Mus musculus: one gene and its partners. The protein of the gene in region 1 interacts with the protein of each later gene in a pairwise test. Links are inferred from orthologs where the notes say so. Each region holds a gene or a part of one and is shown in the gene's direction. Other genes may lie near its edges.

Region 1 (4,131 bases):
CTCATACAGACATGTTTAGAGGCAAAACGCCAAAGTGCATAAAATAATAAAACGAATGGGCCAGCTATCATTGAATCAGACATCGTTGCAGAAGAGGGGCAGCGAAAAGATTTTAAGATCCGGAGGTTGTGGAGATCGGCATGCACAAGGTCAAGTCAGCTGCCAAAATCCCAGCGCGCCTGAGGGGTGGCTCCTGAAGTTGCTTGTTTTTTAAAGGAATTCTTCCCGAGAGAGTTATTTATTTATATTTTGTGGGTGCATGCATACAACATACACGTGGCCAGAGAACTTGGGAGAGTCAGTTTTCTTTTAAAAGTGTGGTTCTCTGGGGAATCAGACTCAGGTAGTCAGGCTTGGTGAGCCATCTTGTCAGCCCTATTGTTTTCCTAACTATAAGGCGGATCTTTGGGGTTCTCTCTCTCTCTCTCTCTCCACATTATAATGGCAATGTATATACCACTATGCTCCTGGCTCCAGCCACCAAGTCTCCTTTCTATTCCTCAAACTGCCTCAAGTCTTTTTCCATCTGTTGGCTGCGCTGTTCCTCTACAGGGAACTTCCACTGGGTTTCAGCTTCAGTCACCCTAAAGAGGCTCTCACTACTGAAATTCTACTACTGATTTGGTGTGAACTTTAATGTTGGTTACCTGAACAGCTAGAAACCTTGTCACTTTGTTCTTTTCTGTACATGTGCCTAGACTAGCACTTTTTTTGTTTGTTGGAGTGTGTGTGTGTGTGTGTGTGTGTGTGTGTGTGTGAGAGAGAGAGAGAGAGAGAGAGAGAGAGTCTCTACATAACTCTGGCTGCTGGACCAGCCTGGCTTCAGACTCAGAAATCTGCCTGCCTCTGCCTCATGTGCTGGGATTAAAGGCTTGTACCACCACAGAAATAGCGCCTCATTAATAATAGATACCCAATAAACATTTACTGGATGAACAAACTTGCAGTGTCATCTTTTAGCCAATTTACTCTGAGCACCCTTTGATACACAAACCCACTTTTATACCCTGATGCTTCCCTGAGCTGGAAGCTCTTACAGATCCCAGAATACATTAAGTCCACACCTCTGTGCCCAGCTGCACCCTTACTTTCAAAAAGGATGACGTCCTCCTGTAGAGTCCTTCCAGTAGGCAGATTCTGTAGGGCAGGGCCTGCGCCTTTAATCTGGGCCCCACCCGCTCTGGTCAGACAGGTTTGGAGACACAGGCAAGGGAGGGAAACTGGGAAATACTTGCAGAGCCAGCCAGGAGCTAGGCAGCTCCTTTCCGGAGATCCTCCGCCTCTTTGCAGATGGAAAGTAAGAGGGTATCATGGATCCAAAGGGCAGGGGTAGGAGGGGCCCAAGAGGTGAACGAAGGGAGCCCAATCCAGAAGCTGTGAGCTGGAGGGTGGCAGGGGAGGAAACAAGAGGAAGGCTTGGGAACGGCCACACTAGAGCTGGGAGTCTGAGTGGAGCCCAGCCCAGCTGAATCGGGTGAGACTGGCAATGGGAGAGTTCAGAAAATGACCGACTCCTGGAATGGAGACTGAGGAACCGAGATCTGGTGTCGAGTTCCTGGAGGGACCTGCAGGTCAAAGGGCAGGTGGAAGGAAGGGGGAAGGGCCAATTTCTCTATCTATAGGGTGACCCTTGGCTGTAGAGAAACTCCGCCTAGTCCTAGACACCTCAGCCTCCCATTCCAAAGCCAGGGTGGCCAAAAATCCGGGAGTTTTAGTGGAGAGAGTAGAAGGCAGGTGTGGGTATAGACAGGCCACACCTGCCTCTGCTTGTGCCCCCTGACTCACCCTTGTCCTGCTGGATGACATTTATTTTGAAAGGGATCCTCCATTTCGCTCCTCTGCTGCCCGCCCGCCTCTCTGTTTCAACACCTTCCTCCCCACAGTGTTCTCCCTAGAGTCCCATGAGGCCAGCTTCTCTGGGGAGTTCTAGGTCTGAGAAACTGTCCTGGGGCCAGAAGACTAGGTATTCTCACAGAACTTCTCCCACTGCCTATAGGATGACATCGTTCTGTGGTAGCCCTCGGAACTGAAGCCTCACAATGACAGAACCGGAGACACTGGCCCTGCTGGACATGAAGGAACCCGAGACTCCAGAGAAGAGCCCACCGCAGGCTTTAGTCCTGCAGTCAGAGGAAGAAGGTGGGACTGAGTCCCCTGGAACTGAGTCGCTCAGAGTGGGGTCTTCAGTAGGGTCTCCTATAGTCAGAGAGGGGCCTGAGGATGGTCCAGACAGCACAATAAGTGAGGCTGCCACTTTACCCTGGGGAACTGACCCCCATCCTAGCGCCCCACTTCCGGATCCCCCGGGCTGGCGAGATATTGAACCAGAGCCCCTAGAGTCAGAGGCACCTACTAAGTCGGAGGAGCCATTCAAAGAGGATGCCAACCTGCTCCCCGAGAAGACAGTTAGGGCCTTCGTGCCCATTGATCTACAGTGCATCGAGCGGAAGCCACAGGAGGAGCGCATCCTGCATCGCGACGCTGGACCAGGCGAGCTCAGGAATTTCCTGCCAGCTCGACTCAGCCACCCTGAGCCCCCAGAGCGCAAGTGGGCTGAGGCCGTGGTGAGACCCCCTGGCCGGTCCTGCGGGGGCTGTGGAAGCTGTGGAGGTCGTGAGGCACTGAGAGCTGTCGCCTCGGTGGTGGCGGCCCTCATCTTCTTCCCCTGTCTGCTGTACGGAGCATACGCCTTCCTGCCTTTCGATGCCCCGAGGCTGCCCACCATGAGCTCCCGCTTGGTTTACACCCTTCGCTGTGGGGTCTTTGCCACCTTTCCCATCGTACTCGGTGAGTCTGGCCCCGTGGAGAAGGGCTACCTGGGAAGTGGATTACAGAGCTTTCGACTGGGTGGTTTCTCTTCATTCTGCTGGAACCACTCAGGGTATCCTGAACCTGCCACTCTCTGTCCTCTCCTCCAGGGAGCTCTTGTGTCCACTCTGTAGCCCCGACCCAAAGAGCTATCTTCTGGGAAACCCATCCCAACCTTCCTGCCTTTTCTGATCCCATGTGCTTACCCTCTTGATAGGGCTCCTTGTGTACGGGCTGAGCCTATTGTGCTTTTCTGCGCTTCGGCCCTTCGGCGAGCCGAGGCGGGAAGTGGAGATCCACCGGCAGTACGTGGCCCAGTCTGTGCAGCTCTTCATCCTCTACTTCTTTAACCTGGCTGTGCTTTCCACCTATCTGCCCCAGGACACCCTCAAGCTGCTCCCGCTGCTCACCGGTCTCTTTGCCATATCTCGGTGAGTCGGGCGGGGGCTGGGGTGGCCATGGCTGGGGTAGGCATGAGGAAGACATGATTCCAGATCCTCCAGGGAGCTGAAGGTCTGCAAACCTGAGGTCGGGGATGGGAGTCGGGGTGGGGTGTTTCTGGATGTGCACCAGGCAGTGATGAGCTTGCTGTCTGTTGAGCTACACTGGGTAGCAGTTGGTCTCAGAGCCATGGCAATGGGGAGCTTTTGACTTTTTTTTAGTATAGTGTTGAATCCATTGCCTTGCGTACTCTAACCTCATTTGTCATTTAGTGTGTTCACTGAAGCTACTTTACTCTGAAACTCTCCATCCAAATAGCTTTAAGAATTGGCCTCTAACTGGGCGTGGTGGTGCACGCCTTTAATCCCAGAATTTGGGAGACAGAGGCAGGCGGATTTCTTAGTTCGAGGCCAGCCTGGTCTACAGAGTGAGTTCCAGGACAGCCAGGGCTACACGGAGAAACCCTGTCTCGAAACAAACAATCAAAAAAAAAAAAAAAAAGAAAGAAAAGAAAGGAAAGAAGGAAGGGAGGGAGGGAGGGAGGGAGGGAGGGAGGGAGGGAGGGAGAGAGAGAGAGAGAGAGAGAGAGAGAGAGAGAGAGAGAGAGAGAAAGAAAGAGGGGCTGGTGAGATGGCTCAGTGGGTAAGAGCACCTGACTGCTCTTCCGAAGGTCCAGAGTTCAAATCCCAGCAACCACATGGTGTCTCACAACCATCCTAACGAGATCTGGTGCCCTCTTTTGGAGTGACTGAAGACAGCTACAGTGTAGTTACATATAATAAATAAATAAATCTTTAAAGAGAAAGAAAGAAAGAAAGAAAGAAAGAAAGAAAGAAAGAAAGAAAGAAAGAAAGAAAGAAAGAAAGAGAGAAAGAGAAGTGA
Region 2 (3,446 bases), on another chromosome or scaffold:
TCCTGGGAGCCTGGTTCTTTGCTGTTCACACCTCTCTATTCTCAGTAATAAAAGAATCTAGACAGCTAGAAGAAACTGAAACTTCAAAAAAAAAAAAAAACTTGCCTAAAAGGCTCTCCTTTGTGCTTGAGGGATGGCAGCACGTTACAAGGATGCCAATAATGCCAGTACATTCAGAGGATCTGAATGTGGAATGAGTGATTCTTACAGAGGGAATTTAACAAGCAAGCATGGTGTAATTAGAAGGCTCTGTGCATGCCTATCATCACCAAAGTCAGGATTCTAAGGCTTTGATTGACCGATTCAAGGGACAGGAGAAAAGGGAAGGAGAAGAGAGGATCCTGTATCTTCTGGAGTCTAAAACAAAGTAGAAGTGGCCTGTGTGTAAGGCTCCTCTGGTAGCACTTATACCCAACAGCCACTATGGACTGAGTGTCTGCAGCTCCCCGAAATGCCTGCAGATTGCCTTGTGGTGAGGAAGGCAGGGTGGGTGGGAGCAACAGCTTCTGGAGGGAGGCGCCCAGCTGCTGGCCGACATTCTAGCTGATGGATGTAGATGAGCAATTCCCTTAAACCACTGATTTTCTGCCAAGGACAGAAAACACTGGAAGCTCATCCAAAAACTCCTCCGCAATTAAAGTGGCAATGAAGTGGTTGGTCACTCTGCCCACCTCCCTTAACAGAGAGGTGACCCTGTTCTTGGTAACCACCTCCACACACAAACCACAAAGAGAGCAAGCACCTCCTTAGACCTGCGCCTTGCCTGGGCCTCACAGCTCACTACAAACCCCGCTTTACTACACACGTAAGAGCTTTCCAAGTAGGGTGCGGACGTAGCTCTTTTATGATTTCTAAGGTTTTCCTCCATTCTCCCTTCCTTAAAACAACAATAACATCAGCAACACCCCCTACTTAAAAAAAAAAAAAAACGGGGGTGGGGGTGGGGAGAGAAGAAATTCCCAGTCTTCCCACCTGCCTTGTCTTCCAATACTCCACCAGAAAGCTTACAAGAACAGGCAGCAGCCAAACACAGGCAGCAGGCCAGTACCTTGACCAGCGCCATCTGGTACCTGTCCACCTTACATCTGCTCAGAGGTGATAGGGTGGCTTCGAAGGACACACTTAAGAGAGGGTGTGATCCGGGTCCTCTGCAACTTTCAGCCTTTCTCTCCAAGTTCTTTACTTGCTCTTCAGATCAGGAGTGCATAGTGAACCCTGCCTAGCCCTTGGAAATGCAGAAGGCACAAAGCCTGCTGCTAGGTTAGCTCCTATCTTAGCCGCCCCTCTAAGCCGAGCGGGCGCAGCAAGGCTCTATCACCAGCAGGGGCCGCTGTTCGCTTGGAGCAGGAGCCGGGCCACCGCCAAGGCCCGCGCCTCCCACGGCCCCTCCGGCCCAACCCGCCAAGTTCCAAGAGCTCCCAGTCGTGCGAGCGCCGGGAACGAGCACTGCCTGGGCAGAACACAGCGCACAGGAGCCAGCTTGCGGCGCGCCCTGAAGAGGTTCTTGAGACACTTACGGACCTGGGACTTTGAAAGGGAGACTGAGGAGCCCTGCGCGCACAAGTGATCAAGCCAGCGCTCCGCCGGGCACCTGTTCGTCCCGCGCTACAGCCACTCTGGTCCCCACCCCTCCGATCCTCGCCTTCCCGGCTCCCGCTTGCTCTCGTGATGAATTCAGTGCTGGGCAACCAGACCGACGTGGCTGGCCTGTTCCTGGTCAACAGTAGCGAGGCGCTGGAGCGCGCGGTGCGCTGCTGCACCCAGGCGTCGGTGGTGACCGACGATGGCTTCGCCGAGGGAGGCCCCGACGAGCGCAGCCTGTACATCATGCGTGTGGTGCAGATCGCAGTCATGTGTGTGCTCTCGCTCACTGTGGTTTTTGGCATCTTCTTCCTTGGCTGCAACCTGCTCATCAAGTCCGAAGGCATGATCAACTTCCTAGTGAAGGACCGGAGGCCGTCTAAAGAGGTGGAGGCAGTGGTCGTGGGACCCTACTGAGTGGCCCTCGGGTCCCCCTCGGCGGGTGCCTCCCTTCTGGCACCTCCAGTACTCCGCCAGCCGCGATGCACCCCTCACCATCACGGACCGAGCAACGCAAACCTGTCGGAGTCAGTTTTTTTCTCTTGACTTCTGCCTTTGGGGAAAAAGTGACCGATTTCTGATAGCTCTTCGAAAGGCCCCAAGCAAGACTGTACAGGAGGAGCGCCCAGACTTCGGGATACAGCAGCAGGTGGCAAAAGCAGGGCGCAGAACTTTGGGAGTGGCTGCTGGCGTGGGATACTGGGAGATGAACCAGGCGGCGAAGGCCCCTTTCCACCTGCAGGTGGGCTCAGCACTGGGGACAGCTTGAGAGGCCGAGCAAGGCGGGGTGTGGATGGGTGTGTATTCAGAGGCCCAGTGACCGGAAAAAGTGACTGTTTATTCGCCACGCTGCAGACCTAATTGGGAAGGAACATAGATGCGTGTGGGTTTTGCGACCTACTAAGAGAGTGAAACTTTGATCGATAGTAACCTGTGGTTTTAGGGGATTTGTGTTAGTTTGCTTGAATACAAATATTTGATAAGTCTTTTGTGTCCTAGTGGCCTGTTTGCCTGCCTGCGGGTTAGAGTTTTTTGTCATTCTGGGAGAACGGGTGGGGGGAGGGGAGTCTGAGACTGTGAATGGGGTAAGTGCTTTCTTTTAGTGCATTTCCAGCTGGGTCTTTATGGGAGGCTAGCGCTCCAGCTACGCCCGGGACAAAGATCCAGAGTAGAATTCTTAGCTCCTGTCTGCACGGTTTACGCCACAAAAGTGCTCTTGATATCCGTGACACCGTTTGACTCTTTTTCTTATTTAACATTTCCTTAATAAATGCAACATTTAAGTGTTTTGTTTCTGGCTTCCTGGTAGTCATTCTGTTCTCCTGGAGGAGGGGAAGGTCGGCTGCGCAGCTTCTGGGTCCCAGCCAGAAGGTTTCGCCTGGCCATAGCTGCGATTCTACTTCATAGATCCTTAGATCCATGGAGGGGAGGAGGGGCTGGACAGAGAGCCCAGGGATTTGTGACACACACGAAGCCCCAGGCATAAAAGCCATCTCGAAAACAGCGGCCTTTGTTTTCTCGCATATTTATGATTTAAAATTTCATTTCGTTTCGAATGTCAGGTAGGTTCTCGCGGGAAATTACACTTCCGTGCCAGGCTCCTCGGGGAACTCTAGGTTACCCCGCTAATGAAAGGAGGAGACAGCCAAGCCAGTCTTTAGGGAGAGCATCTTTTCCCCTACCCACGTCAGCAGGAAGGCAAGGGGATGTTGCCCCAGAAAAAGAAAAGTACAGATTCCCAGGAAAAGTAGTGGTCAAAGTTCTCAATACCAGCCAGGGTAAGCATTGTCTCCAAGTCAGAAGGGCTTAGTTGTTTTTGACGTATTATGGTTTCTAGAGAAAGGAAGATAAGCGAGCGTGAAGCA
Region 3 (4,261 bases), on another chromosome or scaffold:
AACAAAAACATCTTGACAGCAGGTGGTAGGTAAATCCACTCTTACAGCAGATATGTTTGGGATTTGCAATATAGTATCTTTTCTCTGGCATGAGAAGTCCACCACCCTGAACAGTCTCCTCAAGGGCAAACATTCGAGGATGATTGTCCTTGCTCTTCCTCACAGTCTCTGGGAATTGGAGGAGAGTGCATTGTTTCCAGGTGTGCCACTGCCTCAAGTCATAAAGATGAGGAGTTTCTTAGTTTAATAAGTGCCAATTGACAAGTCCTGATGAAGACTCACTCTAGCTATCCCTTTAGTATTGCAGCTTTTTTTTTATTAGCACACTCTAGCCTTGAAAAAGTCTTCAAATTTTGTTTTGTGGACTCTGACTTCCATTCATGGAAAACCTTCTTCTCCAATTCAATCATATCCTTAAACTAAGTCTATTCTCATTTCTTTGATGTTCTCCTTGTTGACTTACAGCAGTAATCAAGTGATGGTTGTTTCAAAACTGTACTTATTTGATCATTTTTTGTTAATCTGAGAATTGCAAGAGAGGAGAGAGAGAGAGAGAGAGAGAGAGAGAGAGAGAGAGAGAATGAGAATTTATTTTTATGTTTCAGGCTATTATATGTATCATAAGAGTCCAGAAGAATGAAGCCAGTGCAACAGTAAGTAATTCCAAGTCTTAAAAACTTAGTAGACTTTGTTCTAGTCCCTTGTTCTAGTTTTGAAATTTCCATCTTCGAGTATCCATGTCTTCTTCTCCTTATTTGAAAATAGTAATGCTAATATGTGCTAAAGCGTAATTCTTAGAGAGGGCGACAGAATGAGAATGCGGGTGTGCTGTGAAGTAACTAAGGCAGAATCATTCCCAGTAAATGTTTGCGCCTATCTATTTCTACTCCATGATAAACCTCCAAGAGAATCATTCGCTTTGTGTCGCTGGAGTGATGTACTTTGGATGCTCAGCTGTGATTCCTCCATCAGGCAATAAATTTCCTTGTGGAGAGCCTTCCGCCAATGCTGCCGACTCCAGGCAGTTATAGAGTATTTACTACAATGGATGGCATGAACACATGAAAGGATGTGGGGATGCAATCAGAGTTCTAACAAGCCAGTGTCGAATTCAAGACACTCAAACTGCTTAAAAGTTTATGTAGGCCATACCAATTAATCGTGTCAGTTTCAATGGGGAGTGTAACCAATGTCTTTTAAGACTGTAGTCAATGGATCAGTCATACAGTTGATCTAAAACGACAGTCATGCATCATACAGCATTTCAGTTTTCTTCAGAAGTTACAGCCTCAGAAACAGGATCTAGAGGAAAAAAGGGAAATTACTCCAACGCGTTTTCATTTCCTGCTTTGGGCACTGGCTTGACTACTTAAGCTGTGCTCCATGAACCTCGCAAAGGGCTGTTTCAGGGTTTGGGTTAGTGAGCCTCATCCTGGCAGTTATTTTATAGTAAAGAACATTCAAGTGCTCTGCCTACCTAGGGCCCTGTGAAGCAATGAAATATCACTCTCATATAGAGAATCTGGATGAAGATGGATATACTCAATTAGACTTCAGCACTCAAGACATCCATAAAAGGCCCAGGGGATCAGAGAAAGGTATCCATTTTCTTTCTGCTAACAGCACCTTTGTTCTCATTAACTGAAATAACAGAAGTAGAGACCTGGAGAGATTCTTGATTTGTAGAACTGCCTACAAAAATATATTTTCATATATGCGTGTGTGTATGATATATATTTGGTATATGTGGTATGTATATGATATGTATATATATATATATACATGTATACACACATATATATGTATGTATGTATATATATGTATATATATATATATATATATGTATATATATATATATATACATGTATACACACACGTGTGTGTGTGTGTGTGTGTGTGTGTATAGTTTTAAAGACTGCTGGAAGTCATCAACGACTTCCACAAATTGCTTTTGGTTTATGGCAGAAAACAGGACTACTCTACTCTACAGTCAGAGGTAGCACTGGTAACATGAGTAAAAGAGAAAGATGAAAGAATTTTAGTAGAGTTGCTTTTTCCTTGTTTTTTAGCAACTTGTGAGGGGGCCAGGAAACAGATAAACGAACAACCTGTACAATCATACAACACAGTATGCTAAAGTCATGGTCCTCTATGCAACCATAGAGGAGTGTGTGGGAAATAAAAATGAATGCATCTTTGGTTAAACCCAAAGAGAAGCCAGGAGTCATGGGGTGTAAATCCCAAATCCGCTATGCTCTTTTGGTAAGAGATTAATTTGGATTTTATAAAACGAGATGTTAGTATGTCAGCTATGGAAAACACAAGCTACATTAAAATGTCTCATTATCAGGAGATAGATATTAAAACGGAAACAAGACAAGAATAAAGGACATTAAAGTCCTAACACGGAGTGAGTGTTTTAGTCTCTTTCAGGGTCACCTATTGGGCAGCTCTATGACTTGGCTTTCTGTTGTTGGTATCATCAGCTTAAAACAAAAATCAGTTCGCTGTTAACTTAAAGGAAGAGATGACTGACGGGTTCTAATGTCAGTTTGTTTTCTTCCGCTTTTTGATGTTCACATTATGCAATTATTTATAACCACTTACACAATCACTCTCTTGTGAAATTTGCTTGGAAAATAGTCTAAAAATTGATTGAGGGAAGGGGCATGGCTTATATGCGTATGCTGCGTAAACTAAAGTGCTCAGTCCCAGCAACAGTATTTGAAGGTACTATTGATCTAATTTCAAAACTTGGAAATAAAAAAAATAAATAAAAACAAAGGCATAGAGAAAATAACTTGTTTAAATCATGCACCATATAAATGACAAGAAAAAGCTATCCTTAGTCATTGGTGCTGTTTCTCCTACAGAAAGCTATTTGCTCTGTGACCAAGTAGGACTTCAGGGAATGGATAGTGTCCAGATCTATAGACTAGCCTGTGAGCCTACAATGGAGGAGTTACAGATGGTATGGCCATGATGCCATGGCTGAAGCAATGGAGGAAGAGGCATCCTGAAGTTGGAGGAAAATGGAGATTTACACTACAATGTTAGATTCTCAAGTCGCTAGAGCCTAGTGTCTGCTGATCCCTTTAGAACCACCCAAATTTCAGGGAACTAAGCTGTTAAAGAGTTCCATCATCTTCCCTCATTTTCTTTCTCATCTCTCTTACTTTCCAGGAAGCCAGGCTCCATCTTCACCTTGGAGGCCCATTGCAGTGGGTTTAGGAATCCTGTGCTTTGTGGTAGTAGTGGTTGCTGCAGTGCTGGGTGCCCTAGGTGAGTATGGGTGAGGGAGGTTGATGCAGTCGTAAACAGTGATTATGCAATTAATTGATGCCAAGAACTCTCTCAAGGGCTTGGCATGCATAACCTCATTTAATCTGTATATTAATTCCATTAAGTTTGTGCTATTAATTTCTGTTTTAGTTATAGGAGAATTGAGAGAGTGGAAGATTAACTCTTCCATAGTTATAACCTAGTTATTGGTGAGATTATAAGAAATGGTGGATTATAGAAAATCTGCTTAGTAAAACATATATTCATGAGTATATTACTCTACTATAGATAGGTGATTTTCTTTTTAAAGTAAAACTGAAAGTAAAAGTTAGTGGAGGGAAACTTGCAGAGTCAAAAGAAGCCTAATCTTTCCTAGGAGACAGATGTATTAAATGAGTTTTGTGTAATTTTTGAACATCTCATGACATGATACATGGGAATTATCTTTTTTTTATTTAGGTATTTATTTCAGTTACATTTCCAATGCTATCCCAAAAGTCCCCCACACGCTCCCCCACCCACTCCCCCACCCTCCCACTCCCACTTCTTGGCCCTGGCGTTCCCCTGTACTGAGGCATATAAAGTTTGCACGACAAATGGGCCTCTCTTTCCACTGATGGCTGACTAAGCCATCTTCTGATTCATATGCAGCTAGAGACACGAGCTCTGGGGAGTACTGGTTAGTTCATATTGTTGTTCCACCTATAGGGTTGCAGATCCCTTTAGCTCCTTGGTTACTTTCTCTAGCTCCTCCATTGGGGGCCCTGTGATCCATCGAATAGCTGACTGTGAGCATCCACTTCTGTGTTTGCTAGGCCCCAACATAGTCTCACAAGAGACAGCTATATCTGGGTTCTTTCAGCAAAATCTAGCTAGTGTATGCAATGGTGTCAGTGTTTGGAAGCTGGTTATGGGATGGATCCCCGGATATGGCAGTCTCTAGATGGTCCATCCTTTCATCTCAGCTCCAAACTGTGTC

The links.
Region 2: the proteins of Tmem79 (region 1) and Rprm interact in binary tests that used the Homo sapiens proteins (3 or more experiments, as listed by UniProt). The two-hybrid records come from large-scale screens. The link is inferred for Mus musculus from reciprocal best matches to the Homo sapiens genes TMEM79 and RPRM.
Region 3: the proteins of Tmem79 (region 1) and Clec7a interact in binary tests that used the Homo sapiens proteins (3 or more experiments, as listed by UniProt). The two-hybrid records come from large-scale screens. The link is inferred for Mus musculus from reciprocal best matches to the Homo sapiens genes TMEM79 and CLEC7A.

The regions. Positions count from the first base shown.
Region 1 is NC_000069.6:88,331,548-88,335,678, reverse strand, and holds the start of Tmem79 (transmembrane protein 79), read left to right. Parts: upstream 1-1,245; 5' UTR 1,246-1,297; intron 1,298-1,349; exon of another isoform or gene 1,350-1,571; intron 1,572-1,996; 5' UTR 1,997-2,039; coding exon 2,040-2,787; intron 2,788-3,025; coding exon 3,026-3,239; intron 3,240-4,131.
Region 2 is NC_000068.7:54,083,527-54,086,972, reverse strand, and holds Rprm (protein reprimo), read left to right. Parts: upstream 1-1,420; 5' UTR 1,421-1,668; coding exon 1,669-1,998; 3' UTR 1,999-2,880; downstream 2,881-3,446. UniProt on the Homo sapiens protein: May be involved in the regulation of p53-dependent G2 arrest of the cell cycle. Seems to induce cell cycle arrest by inhibiting CDK1 activity and nuclear translocation of the CDC2 cyclin B1 complex.
Region 3 is NC_000072.6:129,469,920-129,474,180, reverse strand, and holds the start of Clec7a (C-type lectin domain family 7 member A), read left to right. Parts: upstream 1-1,395; 5' UTR 1,396-1,495; coding exon 1,496-1,598; intron 1,599-3,183; coding exon 3,184-3,282; intron 3,283-4,261.